Drosophila melanogaster: one gene and its partners. The protein of the gene in region 1 purifies or fractionates together with the protein of each later gene. This does not show direct contact. Each region holds a gene or a part of one and is shown in the gene's direction. Other genes may lie near its edges.

The links.
Region 2: the proteins of CG11267 (region 1) and Trx2 purify together in Drosophila melanogaster (affinity purification with mass spectrometry, with the first as the bait; one large-scale study listed by BioGRID). This does not show direct contact.
Region 3: the proteins of CG11267 (region 1) and Nacalpha purify together in Drosophila melanogaster (affinity purification with mass spectrometry, with the first as the bait; one large-scale study listed by BioGRID). This does not show direct contact.
Region 4: the proteins of CG11267 (region 1) and CG14715 purify together in Drosophila melanogaster (affinity purification with mass spectrometry, with the first as the bait; one large-scale study listed by BioGRID). This does not show direct contact.

What each region holds. Positions count from the first base shown.
Region 1 is NT_037436.4:13,012,486-13,020,029, forward strand, and holds CG11267 (uncharacterized protein), read left to right. Parts: upstream 1-3,564; 5' UTR 3,565-3,676; coding exon 3,677-3,679; intron 3,680-3,871; coding exon 3,872-4,033; intron 4,034-4,101; coding exon 4,102-4,248; 3' UTR 4,249-4,418; downstream 4,419-7,544. Other genes in the region: MICAL-like, read right to left, coding at 1-2,652; mRpL20 (mitochondrial ribosomal protein L20), read right to left, coding at 4,708-4,864, 4,919-5,127, 5,191-5,277; Icmt (isoprenylcysteine carboxyl methyltransferase), read left to right, coding at 5,896-6,135, 6,203-6,574, 6,703-6,990.
Region 2 is NT_033779.5:9,609,470-9,619,262, forward strand, and holds Trx2 (thioredoxin 2), read left to right. Parts: upstream 1-3,696; 5' UTR 3,697-3,906; intron 3,907-3,944; exon of another isoform or gene 3,945-3,963; 5' UTR 3,964-4,047; coding exon 4,048-4,071; intron 4,072-5,832; coding exon 5,833-5,979; intron 5,980-6,062; coding exon 6,063-6,212; 3' UTR 6,213-6,935; downstream 6,936-9,793. Other genes in the region: gcm2, read left to right, coding at 1,133-1,877, 1,943-2,033, 2,093-3,066; GlcAT-S (glucuronyltransferase S), read left to right, coding at 7,861-8,371. UniProt on the Drosophila melanogaster protein: Participates in various redox reactions through the reversible oxidation of its active center dithiol to a disulfide and catalyzes dithiol-disulfide exchange reactions. As a reducing substrate of peroxiredoxin 1, thioredoxin 2 is preferred over thioredoxin 1.
Region 3 is NT_033778.4:12,756,726-12,762,622, reverse strand, and holds Nacalpha (nascent polypeptide associated complex protein alpha subunit), read left to right. Parts: upstream 1-1,623; 5' UTR 1,624-1,818; exon of another isoform or gene 1,819-1,822; intron 1,823-1,830; exon of another isoform or gene 1,831-1,896; intron 1,897-2,098; exon of another isoform or gene 2,099-2,101; 5' UTR 2,102-2,107; coding exon 2,108-2,761; 3' UTR 2,762-2,930; downstream 2,931-5,897. Other genes in the region: CG12374 (uncharacterized protein), read right to left, coding at 1-38, 101-237, 309-470; Dgkepsilon (diacyl glycerol kinase epsilon), read right to left, coding at 3,105-3,224, 3,280-3,597, 3,654-4,661, 4,720-4,878; ox (oxen), read left to right, coding at 5,194-5,325, 5,392-5,427; mRpL18 (mitochondrial ribosomal protein L18), read right to left, coding at 5,509-5,897. UniProt on the Drosophila melanogaster protein: May promote appropriate targeting of ribosome-nascent polypeptide complexes. Required for correct localization of the osk/oskar protein to the posterior pole during embryonic development.
Region 4 is NT_033777.3:11,672,634-11,679,828, forward strand, and holds CG14715 (uncharacterized protein), read left to right. Parts: upstream 1-1,587; 5' UTR 1,588-1,648; coding exon 1,649-1,795; intron 1,796-1,858; coding exon 1,859-2,128; 3' UTR 2,129-2,290; downstream 2,291-7,195. Other genes in the region: CG42327 (uncharacterized protein), read left to right, coding at 1-491, 595-829; CG18476 (uncharacterized protein), read right to left, coding at 2,322-3,098, 3,170-3,751, 3,810-4,716, 4,772-5,184, 5,252-5,383; Taf12 (TBP-associated factor 12), read right to left, coding at 5,919-6,239, 6,311-6,580.

The sequences.
Region 1 (7,544 bases):
CCCCATTAATACTCGTATCTCATGCTCTATGTCCGCCTGCTCCTGCTCCAGGCGATGCTGACGTCGAAGGTACATCAGTTCCGCTTGTCTGCGGAACAATTCGTTTTTCTCGTTGACCAGCTCGAACAGTTGCAATATAAGATCTTCCACTTCCTTTGAGTTGGTTAGCACTTCTGCGGATTCGGGACCATCAGTATCGGTGGCATCTAAGGAACGCTCACAGCGATCCCTGATCATTTTCTCCAGAATAACGCCTTGTTTCTCAAGACCCAGCTGCTGTACCGCAATAATTTCGAACTCGTGGCGAATTTCTTGCAGCGGAAGCCTTTGTAAGACTTTGCGCGGTGGTATTGGAACCGCTGGTGCTGGTCCCTTTCGCCTCTTCCATTTCCCATGAGTGGATTTATTGTGCCCCAATGGGCTTACGTTTCTATCGAAGTCGTTATACACGATAGGCGATTTTTGATCCTCCTTGCTACGTTCAACAGTGTTTTCGGGTTGAGTTGGCGGCACCAAAATGCGTCGGTATACCACATTTACCTCCTCGTCGGCATTGGATGTACTTAAGCTCTCGTCGTAATTACTCGACTCGGTTGCCTCATCGGATAGCAGACTCTGGTCAAGTGGTATTAGTCTTCTGGTTGAATCACCCAGATTTGGGGCCTTAAGCTGAGTGTGCAACAATGCCTTTTGTTCGTCGGACAATTTTGAAAATCCAGGATCACTGTCAAAGTCCGTTTGTATTGGGGGCAAAGGTGCCTGGCGCTTCTTCCGCATCGGAGAGGTAATAGAGCTAAGACTGGTAGTGGGACTCGATTCTTCGCTTCGCAGCGGACTCCCCACTGAGGCGCGAAGTGGCTTGCGAGGCCCATTTGCAGATGGCAAGGAGATGCTTGAGCCACGGTCATCTGCTCCGCGATCGAACGTTCTTATGCTATTCAAATGCTCCGAAGACGAAGAGGAAATACTACTTTTCTGGCCTTGATGCGTCATTGGTTTTGCTGGAGTCTGGGTTTTTGATATAGATATTCTCGGTGTTGGCATCGGCATTTTTTTCCCATGCGAAAGTGTAGGGCTGGAATGTGGTTTCTCTGACGGATTGGAGATGGATGAAAGGCCAATTTTAGGTGGCGGTGGACGGGGCGGTACAACTTTTCCTTTGCTTTGTTGGGCTGGAATGGCTTTAAGAAGCTCCACTTCATCATCAGAGCTGTCGAATGGGTTGGCACCTTTAGATGAGTCATCATCTTTAAAGGGATTTAGATCCTCTGGATAGTCAGTTTCAGATGCTTTTGTCTCAATTACCTTGTCCTTGGGAGACTCGAGATCCATTTGTTTTGGGAGAACACCTTCCTGCTTAGAGCAGCTTTCTGTGTTTGAGAAAATTTTATTTTCTTTACGCGGGCTTATATGGTCTTCTGGTTTAATGGCTACTTGAGTGTTATTTTCAGGAATCGGTGCTTCCTGTGATTCTGGAATGAGTGCGTCTGATGTATTGTTCAAAGCTTCTTGTTTATCTAAATTATCCGGATGTATTGCATCTACAACAAGGCGGTCATCTTCAAGATATATTGAGACCGAAGAAATCTTAAGTTTCTCTTTTGGAATGTCATTTTCCGGACTAACCGCCAGATCATTGTTTTGTTCAACGCCAGCATGTTGTTCATCGTCTAGTGGAAGAGTAGAGACTTTTGGTTTCTCTGGTATAGCGGGCTTTACAGGAGTTGTTGATTTATTATATTGTTCAATAAGGCCACCATCTTCTTCGTCTAGTGGAATAAAAGAGATTTTACGCTCCTCTGATAATATAGGGTTTACCGGATTAATAGTTAGTTCATTATTTTGTTCATCTTTGTTGGACGGCGGTTGGAAGTTTTCAGGCTTATCAGTAGTACGTATATCATTATCTTCCAGGTCTTCTTGTTTATCTTCAGCTTCAGAGTAATCAGAACTTTGTGCCACCATTTGTTTATCATTCGGAGAATCAGTAGTGGTTGTCTTTAACTTTAAAATGTCAGATTCCGGTTCACTTTCTTCATCGGGACAAGTCTCGCAACAGTATATGTTATTGACCTCCGTTTCATAAAAACTCCCGGGTGTGAGCAATGACGAACATCTTGCACATTTTAAGCATGTGCGATGATAAGCCCGTTTGCCGACAAGGACCCTTTCGGCGAGAAAAACAGGAAGGTTGCATTTCTGGCACTTATCACGTCGAGGCATCCCAACAATGTGCATCACCTTTTGCGGTGGCTCACTCTCTTCGCCAAGTGGCTCCTCTGGCTTCGGGTGCTTCAGGCTCTTGCCGAGCACCTTGTAAAACTGGGATAAATACGTTAGTATGGAGAGTCTATCAGGTACTTCATACGAAACCATGTCAGCTGCATCGAGCAGTGCGGGAATTCCCAAATATTTCTCGGCCGTTGTAAAGGCCAAATCGTTGTTCTCATAGATATCGTCTGCTTTAAGTCGGTCGAAATCTATAAGATCCGGCCGAAAGTGGTGTATTATGGCGCAGAAGGCAAGTCCATTTCGCCAGGAAGTGGTCATGTTCTCCACCTTGACCCCATTATATCCTTGGGTCACAACTCGGCACCAATACTCCAAAGCCTTCGTACCAGTTCCAACTTTTGTGCCACGACGATCAGACATTTTAGTGGGTTAATTGCTGGCTTATTGGCGAATATAACTAAACGAAAATAGCAGTCACAAACTGTAAACTAAGTGAACAACAAAAGCACATCGTGCCACTTGACTTGAGTAAAATCAAATAAGATTTATCTGGTACAAATTACATTAAATGTAAACAAGGCAAAACGGTGACTCAAATAAATCTCCCAATCAGATTTAGTGGTGGGAGTGTCAGCAGCTATCGATAGTTGTTTCGTGCTATTTTCCCTTCTTAAAAACAAGATGTTTAGAAAATTCTGAAATTTTTTAATTTTTCTCAGGAATGCCACACTTTTCAATTATTTTGTTGCTTGTCTTTATTGTCTTGCACTTTGCAACAGGGTGTAGTGTGAACAATCCGCTGCCAGAGTCAATCGATTTAAATCGCTAGTATCAATAGCAACTCCTTGGTTTGAACATACCTAATTTCGAGGAAGTAAACAAACAATTCTGTTTTATGTTTATTTTATATTATATTATATTTTAATATTAGTAAATTTGAAAAAATTAAAACACCAGTAAAGCCCAGAAGATTTCTGGGCTTCTGATTTAATTTCTTAAAAAACGATTATTTAGCTCAACAAAGATGAGAACAGAAAATTGCACAACATGTTTATTATAAATTAATGGAAATTAAATTAATATGTTTAAATTGCATATAAAAGGAGTAATTCCTGAAATTGGTATACAAGTTATTATGGAAGTCCACCCACCAGACTCATTTTCATCTTCATGTTTTATAGGAAATCAACTCGGCAATTACTTGGCGAAAAGTTTATTACCATTTTAAAAGTTATACACAACTATTAATTTTTGCATTGACTTCTCTCAGTGTATTCGAACAGAAAAAATTATTTCTCAATGTTATATCCGTGAAATAGCCTGGTCACACCGACGATAAGCAGTCCCGCATCTAGCGAGAATAGTTACGCCGGCACGTGTAGTTGAGTAAAAAGTTCACTCATTAACTTTTATCAACCGCTCCAGTTTGCATTTAAGAATTAAAATGGTAAGTTAAAAGTGCATTGCCCCATATGAGGTTTAGAAGACAGTTTGAAATCGAAGGATGATATCGGTTTTTCGAGAAGGTTCCACGGCTTTCGGTCCACATCCCATTCGCCGGGCTGTTGTGTAATCAATGAGAGAAACATGAAACATTGAAACATGGGTTAATTGTTGGGTCTTTTTTAATGATCCTCAGGCCGCCGCTATCAAGAAGATCATCCCCATGCTGGACCGCATCCTAATCCAGCGTGCCGAGGCGCTGACCAAGACGAAAGGAGGCATTGTTTTGCCGGAGAAAGCGGTGGGCAAAGTACTTGAGGGCACCGTTCTGGCCGTAGGCCCTGGCACCCGTAATGCCGTGAGTATTTCGCCATTATCAATGCAGAGATGGTCATCTAATCACTGAACATCCCACTTCATCCGCAGTCCACTGGCAACCACATTCCCATTGGCGTGAAGGAGGGCGATCGTGTTCTGCTGCCCGAATTCGGTGGCACCAAGGTGAACCTAGAGGGTGACCAGAAGGAGCTGTTCCTCTTCCGCGAGTCCGACATCCTGGCCAAATTGGAGTAGATCTCGCCTCCGGACACTGTCTCACAATTCTATGAATTCTATGCTTTTTATTAGTATGTAACACACCCACAAACCCGAAACTAAAAACTACAATAAAAGCTCATGCAATATTTTTGTTTGCATTGCGCATGGACCGTCATTGAATAAATTTCGAGTTACTTGTTAAAACTAGCAGCACAGGTGTTTTGTCATTAATCACATTTGTCATTTTACTCGAAAAAATATTGGATTCATTCGCGGAAAAGGTAGTTGCAGTAAATAAATTAATGATTTAGTATCAAATTTCATTCAGCAAGCAGAAGTTACGAATTATGTAACTAAATGTAAATACGAATTCGGAGTTAAAAACTAATCTAAAGAACAAATCCCAAACGATTTTACTCCCTTCAAAGTGAAAATTAAAGATTACACGTTTAAAACATACAAATATCTATATTTGAACTCCTACTTAAGGCTATGTTAATCCAACTTCAGGTTGCTCAGTCCATAGACCTGGTTAAATGCCGATCTCCGTTTGATGTCTGGCATTCCCTCCACAGCTGCCCGCTCTCGAGAGATCTTTACTAGAGCTTCAAAAGATCGCGGCTCCCAAATGGCGAGGTCGGATAGGACTTTTCTGAAAGATGTTATAGGTTGTTAAAGGATATGGGAATTTTCCGGTGGTACCCACTTGTTGAGCAGAATATCGGAGCGCGCGAGGCCCTCTTTGAAGGTTTCCAGACCTACTCCATACTGCTGACAACCCGCCTCCACGCGTGTGCTCCACAGTTGCGCCATGTCCAGTTTCTTTAGCTTTCGCCCCTTGGTGGCATAGGCCAGTGCCCTATGGACACTCCGGATGGCGAAGGAGTAGACATTGCGAGTGCGGCTTCTATAATGCTGCAGAAATTAAGCACTAAGAGCTCATTATTTTTATTGTGGCCACGATATTCGGAAACATACCGCTGCCAGCTTGAAGATGCGTCTCTTCCGCCAGAATTCGTCCGGACCACGGGACCGTACCAGCAAGGGAAGGTTCAGGAAGACCATGGCTTGATATTAACAGAATATCGGTCGAGTTTTTATATATTTTTAATTGATCTCAACGACTCTACTTGTTATTTTACATAACCTGCACGGCGCTAAAATGAGCATGTTATCGATAAAATATCGATGCAAGGCGTGCAGTTAAGAAATTTATTTAAAAAGGTATAGGTGAATACCTACAAATGTAATTCATTTAAGTTACTATTAAATTTTTTCTGACTATATAAAATTAAATTAAATCCTCAGAACTCGATATGTCGATATGTAACAGTGCATAACTATCGCTTATTGTTACAGGGGGTATAGGCTAAAGAGAATTGCCCGCATAATTTATTTTTAAAACCATTTTCTGCTAAACGTGGTGTTAAATATTTATTTATTTAATTTAATTTATGATTTATGATTTATTTTATTAAAAGCTGTAAGAATTATATTACTGATTTCTATGATAATCACGAGCCTATACTTTAGCGGTTATTCACTGTGCTGCCTATCGTTATCGAAAGCTTTGCCGGTTTATTTACATTTTGGCGCATTAAACCAAGCAAATGTTTTAAAAAACCTCAATTTCCGTGTTTTTGCGCACAGCAGCAGCACAAAAAGAATCCCGATTCCCCAGTTATGTGTGCAAAGAGCCGAGTGGCTTCTCCTGGGGCCGGTGGCACCAGCCTGTGTTCCGAAGGCCGCATCAGTTTATATTGCTTTCTGATTACTGCAGCTCTAGTCCTGATTCCCTCGGTGCCCCAGAATCTTTATGGAGTGGTGCCACAGGTGTGGGGCGCCGTCCTCTGGGGTCCATTTTTGTACTACGCCCTTATTAACATGATCATACGGTTTGTGCTGCGGAACCACGACTACCAGGTGAGTCAATCGATGAGACGCGATAAACCTTATCAGTGCTATGGCGCTAACTATTCTTGCACCACAGGTGGCCATTAGGGCATCCTTCCTGGGCTTTGCCATGGCCGTGAGTGTGCTGGTCATCTGCTTTGCTCCCACCGAGTGGCAGCAATTTGGCGCCTACGGATGCTTCATGTCCCTTTTCCACTACTCGGAGTTCCTCGTTATCGCCTTTGCCAATCCGCGCACTCTCAGTCTCGACTCCTTTATGCTGAACCACTCTGTGCACTATGGACTGGCGGCGGCAGCCAGTTGGATCGAGTTCTCACTAGAGGTGTACTACCTGCCGCAGTTCAAGAGATACGGATACATTTGGGTGGCGGGCGTGGTCCTGTGCCTGCTGGGCGAGATGGTTCGCAAGGCAGCCATCATCACAGCTGGCCGGAGCTTCACTCACTTGGTTAGTCGTGATGATTTGTTAATACATGGACATATAAATATTATTGCACTTAAGGAATTATCACACTATTATTAATTAAAACTAACTAAATAGCTTGTAAACTTCTCATCACACATCTATTCCTACAGGTCCAGAATGAGAAACACTCGGAACACAAGCTAATAACAAGCGGGATCTACGCCTACTGCCGCCACCCGTCTTATGTCGGCTGGTTCTGGTGGTCCATCGGAACCCAGATCGTGCTATTGAATCCCATCTGCATATGCATTTACACACTGGTCAGCTGGCTGTTCTTCCACGATCGCATCTACGTCGAGGAGTACTCCCTGCTCAACTTCTTCCAGTCGGACTATGTGCGCTATCAAAAGCGGGTGCCAACGGGCCTGCCCTTCATCCGGGGCTATCTGGTCGATTAGTGCCTCTGATCTGGGGTTCAATGTCACAAGTCGCCATGGCAAACAAAACAAAATTCTATTTTAGGTTTAGGTATACAAGGTATACAGCAGTTCTCTTTTGTATAGCAAAAAAAAAAGATTTACAAGCACATTGTTTTTTCCAAATAAGTTTTCTAATATTTAGCATGTTGTTTTGTATTCATAAACTAGTCAAAGCATGTTGCTGAACTGATAATCTAATCTTCTTTTTTGGGTTAATTGTGAATTTATGGGCCGCATTAGCAAGCAAATGAAACAGCTGCGTGTTTCACAAGTTTTATTTAATGTTTAACTCGTCTATCTATCGTTGTTGATAATCTTATCTGCTGATGACTCCTCGTTGTAACTTTGGACATTGTAGTCGTATGCATTATTCTCCCGATTGGTATCTTATACCATAAATGGATAAGAAACCCAATAAATAAAAGGATGAGGAAATAAACCTCCTTTCACCTCTTATCTGAAAATCAATACAAAGATTTCAAGTTGTACAAAATGTTGACTTTTGTGTCTCGCTCGCGTGTCACTTTTGTTTT
Region 2 (9,793 bases), on another chromosome or scaffold:
GGGGGATCTCGAATCTTGGAAACCGGCGGACCACACACAGTCGTAGGCGGAGCGGCGCTCGAGTGAAAGGGTCAAAGAGCCGATGATGATGATGATGCCCCCCCGGCCCCTTCGATTTATAGAGACATATTTTCTAGGTGACAAACTTATTATGAGCCCTGGACAGAGGAGGCCCAAAAATACAGATCTCGAACGAAGTGAGACGCTATCAGCATCAGATAAGCCCAACTAACGAGCGCCCCGAAGTGTCGAGCAGTCAATTTACGGACCCAAAACAAAGCGAGCCACTAGCCACGAACAGGTTCAATCGGGGGAAACCAAAGACCACCAGGCGAACCGTAGCACAGGTATTTGGTGTGTGGTTCTTGGTGCTAGATGCTGTGCAACCTGCTGACTTCCAAGTACACATAAAAACACTCAGGGGACCGAGGCGAATCGATCCATCGGCTTCGAAATCGATGGAAGACAAATTTATTGCTAATTGCAGAGCTCGCTCTCTAATAACTCCCACACATGGAGAATCTCGGCTGAGGCCCTCCATCGAGTCTAGCGATTCCCAGCTGACTCACGATCGGAGTGTCGGTTTAATATGCATCTCCGCCTCCTCAACTGGCGCTCGAATTACGATTGTGGCCAGCTTGGATTACCTGGTGCACAAGATTTGGGGCTAACGGTACCAGCCCTCTAAACTGGGCCTAAATAACCATGCGTTTCATGAGGCCCATAAACCTGGCAAACGTTTCATTTGATTGGTTTGTGTTGGGTTGGGATGGCCCCCTACGAAACAGTTTAGGGCGCAATTAAGATAGGATTTCAATTCCTTAAACGATGCTTAGGCTTTGGCGATAAAGTCACAGTTAAATGGATCACTTAAAGTTTTTACTCGATGTAAAGAGTTTTAATGTAAATAAATTCGATTTAAAAGTTAATGCTGTGACTCACAGTTTTGCCTTAACTTAGATTCCAAAAGGGCAGTGGTGTTTTTTTATTATGTGGCTACTAGAAGTGATATAAAAATCTGAACTCAAGTTAAAGTATGTTTTGTGCTCTTTGGCAAAATTCAAATATAATAATATAGTATTCTTAACTATGAATATAAAATGCAACTTATTATATATAAAATCCTCTACAGAAATGGCTACAGCTTCAAGACGCAGCAACTTCTCACACAGCAACCCGATCATTCTCAGCTTACCCAGTTTGTCCAGCCCCAAAGTCAGAGTACGCATTCGGTGCATCCGGGTCCAAGTCCTGGTCAACAGCAGGCGGGTGGCTCCATGACCATGCCGTCGTCGTCGACGGGCAAGGGAAAACGGGAGTGGGACATCAATGATGCCATTGTGCCACATGTGCCGGACCAGGAGTTCGACGAGTTCAACGAGTGGAGCGACGGGCATGTGAGGCACATCTATTCGCTGCACAACGAGGAGGCCAAGAAGCACATTTCCGGCTGGGCCATGCGCAACACGAACAACCACAACGTGAACATTCTGAAGAAGAGCTGCCTGGGCGTCCTGGTCTGCTCCCAACACTGCACCCTGCCCAACGGATCCAAGATCAACCTGCGCCCAGCCATTTGCGACAAAGCCCGGCGGAAGCAGGAGGGCAAGGCGTGTCCCAACAAAAGTTGTCGTGGCGGTAGACTAGAGATTAAACCGTGTCGCGGTCACTGCGGCTATCCGGTGACCCACTTCTGGCGGCACTCCGGCAATGCCATCTTTTTTCAGGCCAAGGGAGTGCATGATCACCTGCGTCCGGATCCGAAGAACTCCAGTGTTTCCAAGCGGGCCTTTGGACGTGTGCCGCTGGCTGGAAAGTCAGCCAACGGATCAGTCGCCAAGAAGTCGGTCATTGCGGGTCTGGTCAAGCAGGCGAAGGTGAGCTTAGATAGACATTCATTCACCCGGGATGTATCATCTTAACCATTCTTCTCTGACGACAGCAACAACACAGTCTGATTAGCAAGGTTCTTAAGCGTCCTGCTGTCAGCAATCCTCTGGCTCACACCGCATTGGATATATATCAGTATAATGGTAGGTATATAAAACAAGAATATTTAAAGATTTCTTTTACAATTTGTATCCCCCATTAGCCTGTGGCAAGTGCGCCGGTTATAGCCACTGCACTTGCAGCTACCTGGATGACAGCACCACGGCGAGGAGCCATCAGTTGTCACAATCCTCGAATTACGGCACCAATTCTTGGCCACTAAGTGGATCCGAGTCATCGGCACCCTGCGAGACGGCAGCTAATGTGTTTACGGTCAACCACCAGCACATCACCTATAACTATCCCATCTACCATGCAACTCCAGCGGCGGCCACCGCGGCACCTAGTAAATCTCCCAGTTTGCCCTACGCCTGCAGCATTTCGGAACTGGCCGCATACCAGCAATCCTCCAGCGGGAACAGCTTTGCGATGGGTGTTCCCGTGCACGGACACACACAATGCCAGGCAGTAGCCTATGATTCCAGCCCGCAACTGGCCACTCCGGAACCGGAGTTCATCAACTACTCGCAGATCAAGCATTTGGGTGGTGGCGGTGGTCAGGAGGAGATCAGCTGCAAGGCCGAACCGGGACCCACCATTAAGTACAATGCCACCGTGGAGACGCAGCCGTATGTGGAGGACAACTACGATTACTACTATAGCCCCAAGGCGGAGTACGAAATGCAACAGCACCACCACCAGCAGCAGCAGAGCCACCAACAGTTCGGTGGAAATCAGACAGCGGGACATCACTACTACGAGAGCAGTAGTGGCTATAATGGAGTCAGCTATTTCGACACAGGAACTACTACGGCACCAGGAAATACTGCAACCGGAAATGGCCTGGAAGTCGGATACGGCGGCTACTACGATCACTACACCAGCTACGAGCAACAAATGGCGGTAGCAGGTGGATTTGCCACTGCCGGAGGATCCACTGCGCCGACAGTGGCCGCGCCCCCTGGCCATCCACCGCCTCCACCACCACCGCCCACGCTGACGTACCACCATCACCATCACCACCACTTGCACCACCCAGCAGCAGCTACAGGCCTAGCCCCATCGGTCACCCATTGAATAGTACTTAACCAATCCGGACACCGGAGGATTACTCATAGTCGATAGCTAAGCATAGTAACATAGTGTTTAAAATAGTGGTGAAATCTTAATTTCCATCTGTACGTGTAGTGTTAAACGGTTTACCAATTGTTTTTCTCGGCAAATAAATTATGAAAAGTGTTGATTTGTAAAAGTAAATGTATTTAATTTAAGTGCGTAAATATAATTTCTTATTGCGCGACCAATTCAAACATAGCTAATTTTCAGCGGTCATGATGGTGCGGTTCTTGAAATCAGAGATAGATGTCGCGCTGTAAAAAAATTGTTGGTAAGAACCATGTAAAATGTAATGGTAAAAACCATGTAATGTAGACAAGCAGGTGCTCACTTAACCATAACTGTAGTAATTTTAGGACGCATTTAATGATTTGTAGTTTAAAATCGATAGATAGTAAGATATACTTTAATACGAATGATGTTTTATAATTGGCGGAAACATTTAAAGAAAAACAAATTGGCTGCCAAGACCCAAATTTTGTACCGCTTACATGGCTTGCAGTTTTTTTTTAAAAAGCCTCCTACCGGTAAGAAACTGAACTACTGCAGAGTTGCTTTACGATAAACTCACAATGACACACAGACACAGACACACAGACATAACCAGACTAAAGAGAATAGTACTACAAGTTATAATCGCTATCTTCAGCAAGAGGATTTCACATTTAAAGTAATCGCATAGTGGCCAGCAAAACCTATCGCATAGATGTGCCAATCGGTCTATCCATTCGAAATTCACCTTCACCAAACGCGACATACACATATGCAAAAAGAGAGCGTATAGCAATGAGAAGCGTGAGCGTGAGTAAAAAATCTATAAAAGCAACTGCGACGTGCTCATTTTGGTAAAAAATTTAGCTGTGCTGCAAAGAGCTGCCCGAGTGGTAATTAAGTAACTTTTGTACATTTCTACCGGTTCCGTCTCCACATCTCCCATCCAACATGGTGTACCAGGTGAAAGATAAGGTGAGTCACTTCAACCGGATCTATGGACGCATCACATCCGTCATCTATTGGGTAACTCGATAGCGCTACCCTTTGACCCCTCAGTTCCAGTTACACGTTTATTTTTTCGCTCCGGACTTTGAAAATATGGCATTGGAAGCGGCATTCCAATTAGCCACTTACTTTGAATGATTGGATTCGCTACGCTTTTTGCCATACGCTCTCCCGCGAATAGAAGGAACTCACGTTCGGTCTAGACGAGCGAGAAAGCGGAGAGCAAACGAGAAAGTTCCGAATAGCAGCACAGCGAAATGATAATGATATCATCCCGTGGACCGCAAAACGGGTCTCAACGGAAACCGAATTTTGAAATTGAAATATTCCGGACCGAGCTAATCGGAAATAGTGCGAACAAGATATACGTACTATAGAAACCACATATGTACGGATGTGTGTGCGACTGGCATGAATTTGCAATTCATTATCGTGGTCGAGGCCTGGTTTTTTGGTTAGAAATATTTCGAATAGTTGCTATAGCACAGGGTGTGCTCTCCACACATAAGTTGCGCGCCATGCAAGTTGATCCAAAGCCAAGAAAACAAAAGACGCGAGTGCGCGGGGTGAAGAACCGGTTCCATTTCATGAATACAAAGTTACGTCAGGAAATATTGGGAAGTAAATACGTGAAAGCATGCCTTCTTATTTTATTTCTCAATATTAGTTTATTTATATTTGTATACACACTTAAACACTATCAAACATTGACTCTCGCGGTCTAGTTCTATACAGCAAACCACACAACAATAAGCTCAAAAATCAAAAAATGCTTATCGAAGGCATAAGGAATCCACGAAAACATCAAAACATTTATGCATACTGAATTAGACAATATAACAAAGTAGTTTAACTACTGATTTTAGTTTTTTATGTTTACTCAGATATTGTCTTAAAAAATGAGTCAGCAATACATGTTGACAAATTGAATTGTAGCCAACAGTCATCGAGTACCATCACCATCTTGAGATTAATCATTCCATGACGTATGTGTCTGCAATAGAAATGATCTAAGCCTGATTAAAATATGTAATAGGGATGATCAAGTGGTTTTGTGCTAGCAAAAATAGCGTGTATAAAGTTAAATTTCTTGGGCATATACTTATGCAAATTCCTCCAAACCGGTTGCCCATTCCAATTGAAATCGTCAATTTCATTAGAGCTCTGTGCTTGCATGTGCTGTTCTGCGATTGGCATCGCTAGCAATTAATTAAAGGTCATTGGGAAAACGTGTCACGGGCAGAGAAATGGGTGGAAGAAAGGGGATGGAACTGCCCACGACCGCCACACCTTTCGGCATACATACATATAATTTGGAAATTCTTTAAATATTGATTTGCTTTGCTGCCCAATGGGTGCAATACAGAAACTGAAATGAAATTGACCCGATTTCACAAGTTTATGAAGCACACACACATATTTAACCCGTCAATCGGCGATTATTGGGGCTGATTACAGCTTGGCAACTTTGGGGATGTCTGACAACGTTGTGTTTGCAGGGAACAGGCTTATCGGGCGAGATAGTAGCGGGGCCTCCCCAACGCAATATGTATATTTACAATAGCACCGGATCAATGCTCCACAATCGGAAATCATAAAGTTTGAAAACATGACCACCACCTGCTAAAGGGAAAATTACTGAAACATCTCTAGGGAGTGGGAAATTATTAGCGCTAATGTATGATGATATTACTCAGAGATAGTACTAATTTACATTTTCATTTGCAGGCCGATCTCGATGGACAGCTGACCAAGGCATCCGGCAAGCTGGTGGTGCTGGATTTCTTCGCCACTTGGTGCGGACCCTGCAAGATGATCTCGCCCAAACTGGTTGAGCTTTCCACGCAGTTCGCCGACAACGTCGTCGTCCTGAAGGTAAATCTAAAAATGTGCTCAGCTTTATTTTATTTGCTTAACACTTTTTATGGAAATCCTTACTAAATGCCCTTCTCCTACAGGTCGATGTGGACGAATGCGAAGACATTGCAATGGAATACAACATCTCCAGCATGCCCACCTTCGTGTTCCTCAAGAACGGCGTCAAGGTCGAAGAGTTCGCCGGAGCCAACGCCAAGCGTCTGGAGGATGTCATCAAGGCCAATATCTAAGTGGGCAGCGCATAGACGTCTGGCCGTCCCCCTGATCCACCTATGAGTTTTCTTCATAACATTTAGTTAATTAATTAATTCCATAAGTGCAGGGTTTTGCTCCATTCCGCCTGCTCCGCCTTGTCCTTGAATCCCTTAGAGCTGCAGTGCAGTTCGCAAGGTGAAGGTCAGCAGTGGCAGCAGTTGGAACAGCAACAAACGTGAGAAACTAAGTGGCTTTTAAACGTAAAATTTGCTTTGTTAACAAAATCAATAAATCACACAAAGATTGTTCATTTTTGTATGAAAAACATTAGAAAACGCAGTTGTAGCCAGTTGTCCAAGAGAATACGCTAAACAATAAATGTATTACACACTCGCCGTTTGTAACCGATTAAATTGTTTTGCAAAATTCTGAAGGGGAACCTGGGGTGAGGTCGGATCTAGGAATGACACATAAAGTTGTGAAATGAAAGCCAAGTCAAATATCAGTAGCCAACAAGCAGACAAATGTCGTTACGGTTAAGTAATAACGATTAAAACCGGGTAACTACCGATTAGATAAGATACGGCAACAAATTTGTATACTCCAAAGGCATATCAAGTGCGTGATCAAAATGGCCATTTCATAATTAAAATCCACCAGATTAAAGCTAATTTTAAAATTTCCATTTTGAGAAGGCTCTTTTTATCTGTCAAAAAATATATTTTTACATATGTATATTGACAACGAAATTCAAAAACAAATTATATATTTCCTTGAATCCGTGATTGAACTATAGAATATCACTAGGCATTATTAAAAAATTTAATAAATAAATGAACTTATTTGAAAATGAAAATAAGGTAAAAGGTACCTTTCTTGCGATCAATAATATCAAAAGATTTAAATTTGTCCAAATTATGTTTGACAGCATATCGAAAGTTGCCAAGTTGATTCTTGCCATAAAGTTAAAGAACGAAAGTAAATGGGAGACAATATAAAAACAAAGTGATTAATTAAGAAACTATTTTTAATTAATTCAACATTTATTTTAAACATTTGAAAATAAGCCGTTAGGCTTGGACGAACAATCGATACTTGGCTTAGTGGGGACAAAAACCGAATGCAACACTGCGCCAGCTGTGTTGGTGGTGGGAGCGAAAATTGCCCGATTTTTCAGTAGTGTTTTTTTTTCAGTAGTGTCAGACTCTCGGTGACAACAACACGTCGGGAAATTGCATCGCTGTGGAAAACAATAAAATAGAGCGTGAGAGTGAGAGACAGTCGCGCGGGTGTCGGTCAGAAATAAGCAATATTTTCTGTGATTTTTGAGTGTGACGTCCTGTTTTGAGTGCTTCCGCCTCGTAATTCGCGGCATTGCTGCGGCCAAAAGTTCGCCATTGGATGGTTTTTTATAGCAACCAGCGCGCACGGAAATAAATCGGAGCACGGGGAGCACCCAAAGTGCAGAGATGTCGAGGCAATTTGCATAATTTTCGGGTGGTCGGTCGCAGCTAGAAAGTTGTATAATAAGATTGCGAAAACCAGGAGGTACGCCCGGCTCACCACAAATGGACGGGGAATGTTGTGGCAGCTCCACCGCGTCCACCAACACCACAACCATCGCCACCACCACCACCCCAGCTGAAAGCGCCTACACCATCGTATCCCAAAATATTTCAATAAATGTCTAGTGCCAGGCTACTCGAGTCGCAGACATCCGACGAGGATAACGAGGACATCGAGCGGCGGCCTCACCAGAGCCATTCACGCAGCTGCAGCAACAACACCACCCCCACCCATCCACCACATCCCATGGTCAGGAAGGGGGGTGTGGCCAGGAGGATCTGCCTGATAGGTGGGGCACTGTTCCTGCTCCTCGTCGCCCTCTGCTACCTCACCCTCAGCGGGGACACTCGCCTCGGTGGCTCCGAGGATTCGGAGGAGGGATCTCACCATGGATTAGGTAAGCAGCGGATCTCAGTAATGGAATCCCGCCCGGCTGACTGGCTGTTGAGATATACTCGACCTGACAAGCACGAGGGGGATGACCGGAATCCAGGTGAAGAGGAGTTCCCAGGGAATCTTAGTCATAGAGCGCAAGAAATCTACGAATATGAATGGAATTTCAAGATAGAAGAGCAAACGACCAAGCAAATGCAAATCCGAAATAGGCATCGTTTCGATCCCAGAATCCGTGAGTCATGCTTGTACTCTAAAGTTCCATCCCATGGGGGCAAATGCAGTTGGCGGCGCTCTTTCACGACTGCTGGCCGAAAGTGAATTGGCCACTCTGCCACCACTTTCACTTTTCATTTTGGCCCACTGCCAATCAAAGCCTAGTTCACCCTACGTTTTGTGGGGGACTTTAGTGAACGCCCTACGTTTGTTTGAATTAGAAAACAAATTTTACCTGTTATGTTATTTTGTTCTTTTTTTTTTAACGAAAGAAGAGAGAGCTAAGAACATTTGAGCAGTTAAAGCGCTTTGCCAACTGAGTGGCAATACAGACTGAAAAAAACTATAGTATCCGAAAAAAGTTTATTTATTATTTATAATACTCACGTGATATCGAAGCATTATACATACATACATAAGTCGATGTGACTGCACCACTTCACTTCTAAGTTATTGGATGCGGTAATTATCGCGTGAAACGCGTCGGCTCGTCGCTGTTCCGACTTTGGCTACTAGTGAGTCAGGTTGGGCTTTTTATTATTTAACCGTAATTGGATCTATTTGGTAACTATTGTCTTCGCCAAACGCGATGTACATATATATATATATATAATATATGGAAGTAGCCCACCCACAAGCGCATGCAGCGGCAATTACATCGATTCGCCTGTTGGCCGTTTTTTATTGCAATGAGCGAAAGCCGGAACAAGGTCAAATTTTCCAGTTTACTTTGCATTTTTATTGAATGGCCCATAAAAAGGTTAATCTGTTTTGACCACTTTAAACCTACTGGTTTAATCTAATCAGACAAACCTTTTCGATTTTAGGTAACAGATTTGTTTTGTATCTGCAGCCTATGTTTTAGTTATTTATTCACGAGTTTATTGGCTAATAAAGTTCTCGAAATACAGCTGAATTTGCAGAACGAAAATGCGGCAATCCAGATTCAAGGCTAATATGCAATAAGGTGGACCATTCAAGTTTGCGATCAATGATCGGGCTGGCCGAAACAAAAAAACACAAAAAATAATCATGAATCTATCTTCATCTACGGAATTTGTTGCTCGAATCAACGGTTGATTTAGTCAAGAAAATCCAAATCAAGTGCGCGATTTGAGTGGCACCAATTGTCTAATTGCACATTTCCCCACAATTTCCCAGATTCTAGATTGCGCAGTGCTCAGTTCTGCAAAGAAAAAAAGCTTTTAGCAGTTTTTTGCCTCTCATTTCATGAGTATAATTCACACATCGCCCCAATCTTATCAACATCTTGTATAACTAGGGGTACAGGGGGTCTATGGGTATGGCAATCGCTTTTGTTGTACCATATTATGGTGAGCCTGAATAATATGAATATATATTTATAATTCGTCTAGCTCTCGTGCAATACAAATTCTGCTCATCTGTTTCGAGTCGATTTCAGTATCTTTTCAATTGCGCG
Region 3 (5,897 bases), on another chromosome or scaffold:
TCTGGGAATCGTCGCCAACAGAGGATTCATCTATCAATCTGCGAGGATTCAAGTGTAGATTTTTGTAATGTTATAACTCATCTGAGAATCTAGTACTCACTTCTGCAGATCGTCGACAATCACTTCGTAAACAATTTCGAGGAATTTAAGGGTCTTCTCGAGGGCTCTGTGGAACAAGGGACCAACGATCACATTGTATTTGTTTCCAACAGCACCCAGTTCGTTGAGGAAGTGCACCTTTAAATTGGATCAAGTCAAGACATACATATATGATTTTCAGAAATGGAATGGAATTTGTATGTACTTACAGAGATGTGTTCGTGAATCTTCTTAAGCTCCTCCATCTGCAAGTTCGTCTCAATGGTCAGCTGATAGATACGGAAGTGGTCGTACCGGGCGGCCATGCGACCAGGTGCGGACTTGGCCGCCACCATGGCCACAAGGGTTATCAGAAGGATTGGTAGTTTCATTTCGGAGGTTTGGTGTCTTGAACGTTACAGCGTTCACTGTGAGGAGTCCCTTCACAGTCGTGCTTTTTATTAGCTCCAGGAGTGGCCACTCAAACGGAACGTTATCTAATGGCGATAGGGGATCAGTCATCTGGCGTGTGTCTCCTTTGATCTAATCGCCCATCCAACCTACCACAAAGTAGCTCTGGACTTTGTCTTTCGAACCAGACGTGTCTAAAGATGGTTGATACACAAGAAAATTTAATTAAAGTAATTATAAAAAAGATTTAAGATATTTCAACTTGGCCAAATAAACTTATCCCGAAACATGACCTAATTTTTTATGTTGTATTGTTTTCGAAAGACCAGAGTATATGCAAATAACCTAATTAAAATTTAACTAATATTATCAATTTCTTAAGTTCATGTAAAAACTTATATCGAATATCCAAGTTACCTTTACAAATACTAGTATAAATGACAATAAACTGGTATCAAATTTTTCTCGGTGAACTTCCTCTAACAAAGTCAGCGGAGTCAAATTTGTAAGTGAAATCATGCACCGAGTGTGGAGGCACTCGCCTTATCAGGCATGTTCAATTAATTAAATACTCCTCCAGGCGTCTGCACGTGAAGGAGCACTTCGAGAAGCGTTTGTAGAATGCACTGGCAAACTGAAGATCGTCATCTTCAAGTGACAGACTGGGTGGGGAAGAAAAGCCGTCAAACATTCGATTGTGAAACCATTCATTCGTTTAATTTTACTATTTAAGCAGTGCAGTTATTGCTAGTCACTGCAGAAATTAATCATGCCACTGAGCCTAATCTGTGATGTTCCTTTCCTTCCCTTTGAGTAAGCCACTTAAAATGTTGCGGTGTTATCAATTTGTTTTTAATGTTTTTCTTTTATGTAAAATTATAACTGCATTATCAAAAACTAAAATATTACGTTAGTAGAAGATTGCAAGCAAAGGTGACCCAAACAGTGAACTACACCTTTGAAAAAATATTTAACACTTGCTTTGAATAATTACGAAAAAGAACTAGTTTCTTGGGATATTATTGCTTTTTAAGCTACTCCCATAATTGTTTATAGTTCGATTATTTCAGCAAGCCTTGATAGTCAAATTAAATTATAAATTTTTAGTCATAGTGCTTTACTATAGAGGTGAAAGATTAAAAATGTATTTTGAAACTGTCATTTTTTTGAAAGTAACGTAATTATGAAATAGAGTAGCCACAAAGTTTGAATTTGTCATACTTCATACGCATACGTTCACACTGACAGAATATATCGCTTGGATTTAAGAAAAATCGTGCTAAGCGACAGTCACACTCCCCTCCGCCATATTTCTTTTCTTCGTTTCCGGTAGGTGTGTGTACTCCGCATTTTTCGACTTCAATTTAACTTTTGCCGAAATATCAGTGAATTAGCGCCTTAAATTATGTAAAATATCATAGTTAAGAGTTAGATCTACGGGGGTAGCGAATTATTGATTTTCCAATTGAACTTGAAAAATCAATACCAACTGACCCCCGCTGAGACACATCGCTGAGCCTTTGAACCGGCACCAGATGTTTTCCCTTAGCATAATTGATACTATTTGCAAAGCAATTACCTAACCTCGTGTTCTCCACTTGCTTCCCCACAGATTAAAATGCCCGAACTGACCGAAATCAAGAGCGAGGCTGCGCCCTCCACCTCCGCTGAGGCGAAACCCGAGGACGTCCGCGTTGAGGATGATGGCAGTGATAGCGACTCCGATGGTGGCATGCCTGGTCTGGAGGAGGCTGTAGCGGCCACCACACAGCTGGGTGGAGGTGCCACCGGTCTGCCCATCGACCTCGTCTCAAAGGCCAAGCAATCGCGCGGCGAGAAAAAGGCCAGGAAGATCATGCTGAAGCTGGGACTTAAGCAGATCCAGGGCGTCAACCGGGTGACGATCAGGAAGTCGAAGAACATCCTGTTCGTGATCAACAACCCAGATGTGTACAAGAACCCCCACAGCGACACCTACATCGTGTTCGGTGAGGCCAAGATCGAGGATCTGTCGCAACAGGCCCAGGTGGCTGCCGCCGAGAAGTTCAAGGCCCCGGAGGCTGCTGGCGCTGCAGACAGCGTGGGCGCCACCACATCGGTGGCCCCCATTGCCGAGGAAGACGAGGAGGATGTCGATGACACCGGCGTGGATGAGAAGGATATCGAGCTGGTCATCACGCAGGCCAACACGACGAGGGCCAAGGCGATCAAGGCTCTGAAGAACAACAACAATGACATCGTCAACGCCATCATGGAGCTTACTATGCTTTAGAGCGGGCTTCAGCGTTAGCTGCACTCCTGATTTTGTTGTTTACCCGCCTTTCGATAATACTGACCCAAATGTTGTGCATGCCCCTCAAGGGGCAGCATGTTACACCAGTCGAACATTTAATTATATTTCAAAAGATTGCGTCTTAATAAAAATGGATTTATTTCAAATCAAATACGATTGCGTGTATTTTTCGACTAGTTTCGGTTTTCCACTAGGTGGTGTGGGTGTCTTTACTTGCCTTGCTAACCGAATTCGATTAAGTATACATTGAGGTTCCAGGTTAAGTACTTTGAGATTAGGGACTGGCACATAAGGGATTCTATTCTGTATTAGCTATTAATGTTCAGGTTGCAGCCAGCTTGAGGACGCGGGCCTGACTACGCGAGGAGAGGCGAATATCCGCTGGACTCTGCATCCAGGGTTCGCCATCCGCCTGCATTGGCACGGTCTCCTTGACTTGTAGCTAAAAAAAAGATTGTTGGTTAACAAATATTCGGTTCCATCACTGCAGGGCTTACCCTTATTTGCTTGGCTTGGCCAATTCGCACTGGTTTGCTTATATTGCACTGCAGTTGGGCAATGTGGAAAGAGGAAACAATGCCGAACACCTCCATCATACCATCGGAGATGGAGTTTACAATGCGCACTTCACCATTGGCGTTGCTTAGCTCGCAGAGCTTGCAGCCAGCTCCCCATGAGTCGATATTTAGGAACACCAGCGCCTGCAGCTCAGGCAGTTGCACTGGCTTGTTGTCCAGATACAAGGTCAGCTTTTCCTCGATGTGTTCGCAGCCAGGTTGCATCACCTGTTGCGTTCCGAAGGTAAAGTACAGCAGCTGACGAGATGGATACATTAGTTAACGTTAAGTAAGCACACTAGATTGTAGCCTACCTTATTGAATATTCGACTGCTGAGCAGATAGAATCGAGATTCGCGCGTCTTGTGGAAGTTGTAAGTGATGTACGCATCCACACCTACACTGAAATAGTTGTACACATGAATCGTCTTCGTGGGATGCCTCTGAATAGGCAGTCGATAGTGCAGTTTCTCTATTTGCAGGTCAAAGCGGTCGAGATTCACGGAACGTGCTCGCCGTATGCTCCTAAGGATCTTCACCGGGTCGAGAACAGAGGGCGGCTCTGCTCCCCAGCCCAGAACTCGCGACAAATCGTTGCCGGTGCCCAGCGGCATGATGGCCACCGAGGGCTGGGGCTTGATATTCAGCGTATAGATTGTATTGAGCACCCAACCGATGGTGCCATCGCCGCCCGCCACCAGTATGCGACACGGGCGAGGACTGGCTTTGGCGGCCCACTGCAGGGCGTCCTGCGGACCCCTCGAGCCCAGTTCCATCACCTGCAGCGGATGCAGGTAACCGCGGAGCAGGGACAACACATTGGCACCCGTACTGCTGCCCGACTTGGTGTTGGCGATCACAATAAGCGGCTCCCAGTTCTCAATGTCTGGCGGCGTAATGCTGGCCAAGTGGAGCCGCATCGAGTCTCTGGTTCGGGCGGCCACAAAGCTGTATGGCGGGAAGATCATGTCCTTGAACTCGCCCAAGTCGCAGGCTTCCATGGAGTCAGCGCGAGTGTAGCAATCGTTATGATAGCACCGCTGACACCATGCACATCGCCATCCGTATAATCCTGGATCGGTGCTGACATGGTGATCCACCTCCTCGTTGCAGTCGGCACAATGCACTCCCATAGGCAGATTGCCATGCACCCACAAGTGCCGCACGGAGGACTCGTTGCGCAACCACTTGTCCTTGCACCGGTACTCCCTGTCCGCCCTCCGCTGGCAAGGGGGCGTGGCATGGGTGCACAGGCCGCAGCAGTCGCAAAAGAGTCCTGCGGAGGGGGTTAGCAGGATCTCGCACACATTGCAGAAGCAGGCCTAGAATGAAGGGCATGTATCCTATGGTATCTCTTTCGCGGCAAGTGAATCCGCTCACCTGTTCCAACACTTTTATTGATTTCCAGCTGTGACGTGTTTTGAAGGTGCTCACAAAGTCCTCGGAAAGCAGGCTGCGGCAGAAGGCAAAGAGGATACTGAGGGCCAGCAGGGATCCTATCAGCGCCTCCACGCTCAGCTCAATAGTGCCTATGTCCATGGTCCACGCAGATAAGGCCCAATTACGCTAAATATCCTGGTAATTTGGCATATTCACAAATCGTTTGTTTTTGCCCCATCGACCAGTGTGACCGCTTCAAAGACAACAAAAAACACCTTCGACCTCAATTAAAAACACTTTTCAAGAATAAGCACTAATGCGTAATTTCGATAGGCGGAGTGACACTAGTATTTAGATTCAGGACGTTTCCAACACTGCTTGTCAACTCAACCTAACAAATCAGCTGTGAGTTTGGCGTGTGGAAAAAGTTTGATTGGGAACAAATCGGACGTCTTTAACAAAAATCTAGCCAACATGAAGGTTATCTACAACACCCTGTTCAAGCGCACCTCCACCTACGCCGTGGCCATCATCGCGTCGGCCTTTTTCTTCGAGCGCGCTCTCGATGTCACGTCGGTTGCGATTTTCGAGGGCATCAACAAAGGCGTAAGTATAATCCTGTTATGTAAGCAAAGTTTCCTGGCCAAATCTCAAGATTTCCCCGCTTTGCAGAAACTCTGGAAGGACATCAAGGGCAAATACGAATAAATTAACATGATTTGTTGTAATTAGCAATAATAATCAACGTTTATTCTAAACGAAACGATAACTAAGTGTGGTTTCTTTTGGTTATTTTGATTTGGGTGCTTCCAGTGCGTCTTCCGACACCTCCCAGGGCTTCTCATGCCTCTTCTCATCCCAGGGCTGCTCGTTGGGCAGGCGAGAGGGTTCCTTGAAGGACACCCCATTATCCTGAATGGTTTGAAGCAGCTTCTGCAGCTTGCTACCCGGTACCGCCTCCACGTTGCAGGTCATTTCCGTGATCCCAGACTGCAGGCAGCGCTGTGCGAGCACTCTGCCGAGATTTACAAACGCAGATGTGTCGTTGGTCTTGTACAACTGCTGTTTAATGGCCCATTCCGAGGTGCTGGCACTCAGGATGGTTCCATTCTCAAAGTGCTTGACATCGCCGCTGACATAGCGGCCGCTGGTGTTGATTTCCAAAGTGTGCCAGTAGG
Region 4 (7,195 bases), on another chromosome or scaffold:
ACCAGCGATTTCTGGCGCATGATCTGGGAACAGCAGTCGCGGGTGATCATCCAGGCGACGGATCTCAGTGAGAACGGAATTGAGAGGTGCGCCGAGTACCTGCCACCGTCGGCGACTCTGGACAATCATAGCAGCTATGGCGATTACCAGGTGACCCTCAAGCATCGCGAAGTCAAGGATCGCTATGCCATTTCCACATTGGTTCTGAAGCGAGTGGATGGCGAGGAGAGCCGTGAGCTCACCCACTACTGGTACAAATGGCCTGAGGCGGGTGTACCGGCCGAGGAGGCGCCCATCATCGCCATGCTGCTGGAAGCGCGATCCTCGCTGAAGTCCTACTCCCTTGAGCAGGCCAACGAGCTGCGCGAGAAGTCCGCGACCCTGGAGACGTCAATGGATGCGGACGGCAGCAAAGCCGAGGCGGGCAGCACGTCCAGCCACGAGATTAATGGAAACATCTCAAGTCGAAGCGGAACACGAAGTCAGCAGGGGTAGGTTGACATAATCTCCATCCATTCATATCAAAGCAGTTGTTGTGTGTTGCATGGCTTTTTAATGTTCTGTGTCTTAACTTCTTCATCTCTCCCCCTGCAGACCGCTAACCGTTCACTGTTCTCCAGGCACGGGACGAACCGGTACCATTATAGCGTCGGACATGGCCATCCGCAGTCTGGAAACACCGAAGCGGTCCGTGGACATCCCCCAACTGGTTTACTACGTGCGACGCGGACGTGCCAGCGCCGTACAGACCAAGGAGCAGTATGAATTTATCTACAAGGTGGCCAGCATGTATGCGGCCAAGATCACAAATCTGTCCAATGACAACTGAAAGCCAGATGGCAGTGTTAGCGGCAGAGCCCATCGAGTGGAAACCGAATTTGCGATTGAGTTCACCTTTCACCCTTACAGCACTGATCAATGGGACCCTTTGTAATAATAGTAGCTATGTTTTATACGAAATATTAGTGTAAATTAGTATTATGCTTGAATGTTGGCACCTAATTAAGCGTAGGCTTCGTTGTATGTCGGGCTTTAAATATCATTTAAATTGTATGTATTCCTTTATTATTGTGATATAATCGTACATTCGTATATCTCCTGATAATCTGTTGCATATTTATAATGTCAATTTTTGTTTTTGCACTGTCACGCGCTTCGGGGCCATATAATCCGGAGCAAATGATCATTATTTGGAGCTCTCCTTGTTTTAAGAAAGTCAAATATGTAATCAAACAATGTGTGTATCTATTTTAAATGAGCTTTAATGTACGTAAGTTATTTTTAAGTCCGAGCTGTACTATACTCATATTATTGTAAATTACAAGAAAAAATATGTCCAGCAGTGGTTTTTGAAGTTTTAAATTTCGCGGGCTTCGCATTTAAGTGAGACCTTTTTTGATTGGGTTTTAACTATGAACCGATACTACTGCACTTCTGATCTTTCTCTTATTTACATAAAATTTCTTTTGGTTACTAATTTTTTCAAAGTTAAAAAAAAAAAACAAGTTTTAATCTCTTAATTTCGTTGAAAACTATTTGAGTTGTTATATTTATTTGGTTTTATGTGTGCAGTGGGAACAAGTTAAATTATTGTAGATCTCTGGTCACACTAAACCGCGAGTGTTTTTTGATACTGGCTTTCGATAAGATGAAGTTAACTTATATTTTGTTAATCTGCGCTTTTGTGGCCGCCTCCGCTGCCAGCGATCCGAAAGTGAAGATTGGCATTAAGAAGCGGGTGGAGAACTGCACCCGGAAGGCCAAGGGCGGCGATCTCGTCCACGTGCACTACAGAGTAAGGGAAATCAGATAAGGAAGATCTCTAGCCGACCTAACCCCGAATTTGGAATCATTCTAGGGAGCACTGCAGGATGGAACAGAGTTCGATAGCAGCTACTCCCGCGGCACTCCCTTCTCCTTTACCCTGGGAGCTCGGCAGGTGATCAAGGGCTGGGATCAGGGAATCCTTGGTATGTGTGAGGGTGAGCAGCGAAAGCTGACGATTCCGCCTGAGCTGGGATACGGAGCCAGTGGAGCGGGTGGCGGAAAGATTCCCCCCAATGCGGTGCTCGTCTTCGATACGGAGTTGGTAAAAATCGAACCGCGCTCTGGATCTGAAGAGCTGTAAAGCGAATAGGGCCACAAATAGGCATTCCATGCTACACCCAAAGTTTACTTTCAACTAAAGTCATAAACATTTAATGCTCAAATATTTAAAGTAGTAATTTGTCTTGTTTCTGAAGTGATGCCACGCCACGACCAATAAATAATAATGTCATTCCTTTTATACTAGACCAAATTGTATTTATTGCAAGAGCCCCTTACTTTTGGCGTCTCAGCCACGCTTCCACCTCGTCGAAGTGACGCCGCATCAACCGATGCTTCTCCAGCGTGCTGCTCTGGATGAAGCGCTCGCCACAGGTGCCGCACACGAAAGGACATTCGCCGGTGTGCTGCTGGAGATGAAGCTTCAGGTCCTTGGCCTGACGGTAACTCTTCTCGCAGTAGGTGCATTTGTGCGGCTTTAGGCCGCTGTGCGTAAGCATATGGCGCTTGAGCTTATCGGAGCGGGCAAAGTCCTTGCCACAGACGGTGCAGTGGAATGGCTTCTCGCCGGTGTGCATCCGGCGGTGCGAGGCCAGCTCTGAGTGGCGGGGAAAGGCCATTTCGCACAGATCGCACTTGAAGGGCTTCTCGCCAGTGTGGCGTCGCATATGGGTCACAAGAGCGGCGGCTGATCTCGTCTCCATTCCGCACAGGGAGCAGAGGAAGCGCTTAATTGCCTCCTTGCGCTTGCGGTCGCCGTTAATGTGCACATCGCGAATATGATTGTTCAGGCGCGACTTCATCTGGTACGTGCGATCGCAGTGTGGACACTGTAGCAGCGGTATTCCGTCCTCAGTGGCATCCTTTTCCAGGTCACCGGTCCCTTGCGTGTGTCTGTCGCCAGTCGGATTGCTGACGGAAGACTTGCTGTGTTGCAGGAGAATGTGCTGCTCTAGGTTCTCTGGCCACATAAACTTGTAGGAACACTTGCCACATGCATGCTTCTTTTCTGTACTACTACACTGACCTTGCCGGTGGTGGTCCATAATGCTCTGAAGCAATAATGAAATTGACATAATGTATCTATACTGGTTAAATGTAGAATACACATTTAAAACCTCACCTTGGAGACACATTTAAAGATGCAGTCGTCGCATTCGTGTGGCATTTTGTCAAAGCGATGCATCGTCCGCTGATGCTGGATCATTTCGAACTTCCGCTTGCACTGCACGCTGCACAGCTCGCAAATATATACGGGGCGACTGCCCACACCGGGCTGCATCTCGTCTTCGGTTTCCGAATCCTCCAGCTGCAGCTCAAAGCCAGATTCGTTTGTTATTGAATAATTATGCGGGGAGTCGTAGCTCTGGTGTAGCGACAGGGATAGCTTAAGCTCCAACTGGATATGGGCTCGCAGATCAACAATACGCTCGAAATGCAGATTGCACATGCGGCAAGTAATGCGCTTCGCTCCGTTTGGCCGCGAGGTGGCAGCAATCAATGTTTCTGCCAAGGGAATGTCATGCTCTTTCAAACCGTGTCGCTTCAAGTGTTTTACCAAGTAGTCGTGCCGATAGAATTTGCGACTGCACCACTGGCAGGGAATCAGCTTGGATTCCTCCGCATGTACGCTAAGCAGGTGAACGGTGAGGGATTTCTTTTTATCAAAGACCCGTTTGCACTCGGAACATTCAAACGTTTGATTCTGTAAAATTCATAGATGCAATGGGTCTGTAGCCTGAACAATTCTTAGATTAACTTACTGTAATCCTGTGTTCGCGGAAGTGTGTTTTCAGGTTGTGTTTCCAGCGAAAGCGTAGCGGGCATTTGTGGCAGAGAAATCGCTTTTGTGCATTCCTACACTGCGACTCGTTGTGGTGGCGCAGCAGCTGCAGACTTACAAAACGTCCATCACATCGCCCGCAGACGTGAGGAGCGTCTGACCAACTGTGACTTTGTCGCTGATGGTCATAAAGCTGATATTTTCGCGGGAACTTTTGCTGGCACAGCTCGCAGCTGTAGGTGGCTTTGCGCGACTTCTTTCGCCTCTTGTGCTGGTCATCGTGATCTCCGTCCAGGTCGCTGTCCGTCTCCGAGCTGTCCAGATCCATTTCGTAGCCACTTTGGTTCGTTATCGAATAGAAACGCTGATAGATACCCGCCGCTAGATCCTTGCGAATCAAGTTGATTAACTGCTCCTCACTGAGGTCCTTTGAATCGGGATAAAACAGCTCTGCCAGCTCATGGGGCTCCATATTTGGCCGACCGCACAGGCTAACAATATCGGGGTGCTCCTCCAAATGCCGGCGCAGATCAGCAATCTTGTTGTATTGGCTCTGACAGATCATGCACTCAATCAGCTTGTAGCCATGCGGTTTGCAGAGATTCAAATCCACAGCCTTGGCCTTCTTGTGCTCGCTAATGTTGGCCGATCGTTTTGAATTCCGGTGAATTTTTAGGTGTGCTTCGAGGGCTTCGCTGCGGCTGAACTTGCGAATGCAAAGGGAGCAGTCATATAATCGAGTTTCTGGCTTATGGACGCGCATTTCATGGCGTTTCAAGAAGTCGAATCGTTTAAAACTCCTAGGGCAGTCGTGACATTTATATACAGACTTTCTTCCTGTTTTCCACTTTTGAATGCGATTATACAGTGGCAAATTATCCAGGGAGCTGCAAGATTAGTTAGTTAAAATAAAGTAGTTGGGAAATTCCAATTGTCACCCACTCTTCGTCTTCAAAGTCCGATGTGGGATCGTCATACGCTGGCTTCTCCACGCTTCTGGGTTCCATTTCCAGCTTCACCGTTTCAATCATGGTCAGTGGGTCCACCGACTTTTTGCTCTCCATGTCCGTTTCGTCCGGTTCCGGTAGTTCGGAACAAGTGATAGTAACATCATTTTCGCCACAGTCCTCATCCTCAGTCTCCAGCTTGACTTCCACATGCTGCTCAGCACACAGCTCCATCGGCGCCTCCTGCAGACAGTCGGTTGACGTTGGAGCAGCACCGTTCTTTAGATGCTTCATTAGAAGTTCGTTGGCGGCCATCGCCTGCTTCACATAGCAATAGGCACCCATTAATTTTTTGGTGCATCCACTGCACAAGCATTGCGGAAATTTCTGACTACCAGTTGCATCCAGCTGAAAGGTAAATGTTTCATTTTAGTTTGCATTTTTCGTAGATTTCGCTTCTTAGAACTTTGTTTACATTGATTTCGGTTAGCTCGCATAAAATCTCCGAAAGCAACTTGTCCGGATACTTTTTCGAGGGCGTGGCCAGCTTCAGAAGGTTGTCGGTGTCCGTGGAGTCGCACGTGCGACAAATCACCGGCAGCTTCATGGCGAACAAATTTGTTTTGGCCAATTGAAAGCTTTTTTAATTTTAAATCAACAATCAGAAAATCAACATTATTGATGGTATGACCTTGATGCGAGAGATGGAAAATACCGTTCGGTCATTAAAAAAATACCACGTTGTTAAAAAATACAGCAATTAATTGGGTGCGTTCAGCAGAGTCCGCTAATTATTTTCAAAGGGAAATATTACACAAATATTTTTAAAATAAACTGAAGAAATTGTTAAATTATGAAAAATATAAATCAATATCCACCAGACAAACAATTAATACAAATATTACAGAACCATTAGAAACTGTGATTAAAAAATCACGACTTAAAATTTACTGCTGACGGTGACCAATTGTTGAATGTGAAATCAATAGTGCACTTTTATTACAATAAATCTACAATAGAGCGACGATAATTTGTTATTTAATCTAAATTGGAGCTTAAATTAGTTTGTGGCGTGTGCACGTTTAGCATACGCGAAATCCGGCAAACCGAAACAGAGCCTCGACCCGATTAGATCCAATCCTCTAGTATTTCTTGATCGTTTTCCGTATGAGGGCAAGGCGCTGTTTGTGCGCCTCCGTGACAGCTGCCCGCTTGTAGGGACGCAGTTCGTCCGTACCGAAGCCGGGTATCCACATGTTGTACTTCCGCTCAAAGTGCAGCTGCACGTCGCGCACCTCGATCTTGTTAGACTTTCGGTGCTTGGCGAAGGCGCTCGTCGACTTGACGGTGTCCTCGACAAAGTCGTCGATGATCTGAAGCAGAAGCTCCTCAACATCCTCGTCCAGCTGCGTGGTGGTATCCACCTCTCGGACGAGCTCTGTGAGACGCGGTTTGGTAAGCATCTGTAATTCGGAAGAGAGTTAAACTAGACCCTGGCGTATTCCGTGTGCACTCCATAAGGCACGCATCTTACGGGAGTGTTCTCGGAACCGGCGGCGGATGATGTGTGATTGGATGACTTGCTACCACCAGATATGGGGCCCGTTCCCGTACCCAAACCGGAAACCGGTCCGCCGTTCTGCGAGGATGAGTTGCTGTTGTTGGTCATCGGACTGTGCTGGGAGGGCGAGGCCATGGGTGGGTCGTGGAGCAGTCCGCTGGCGGACGATGTGGAGTTGTGGTTGTGGTGCAGGTGGTGCTCGGCGACGCCGTTGCTATCGAAAGTGGTAAAGAGATCCGACATTGCTTTTGGGTTTCTTCAGAGTCAAATCAAGTGGGTGGTAGGTCGGTTGGTTGGAAGTGTTTGGGGAAAGTACAGTAAGTTGGGCGGATTTTTGGGGAGTGGGTAAGAGTGCAGAACCAAAGCCAAAAGCGTTAGTGTACTTGTTGTTGTTGCTGCTTATGTTGTGTGTCCTCCTGCTTTCTCAACTGCAGTCGGTGATTGTGTGTGCGTGGGTGTTTGGTTGCAAAGCGAAATGTAAGTAAAAGAATAGAGTGGTCAATTTCACGCGTGCGGTCTTAAGAATCCGTCGCTTTGTGTGTTTACTAAAACTAAAGTGTTACTTAGCAGTTGCTCTTAGCGCATGCAACACTTACAATTATTGCGGTTTTAACACTTTGATCTTAAACTATTACTTTCCTAAATTACTAAACAAAATAAAAATAAGCGGAGCAACTACAGCCAAATCAACAGTATGGCCAGTTGCAGGCGACTCTGAAATGCCCGCTGGTGCTATAAAGCAATTTGGTATATTTACGTTTAATTTCAGTATATTTTAGTTAGACAGCCACACTGGCGTGGAGTTCAAAACAAAACAAAGACGGCGTATTTTGCAAATATCACGTAGATAAGGAATAT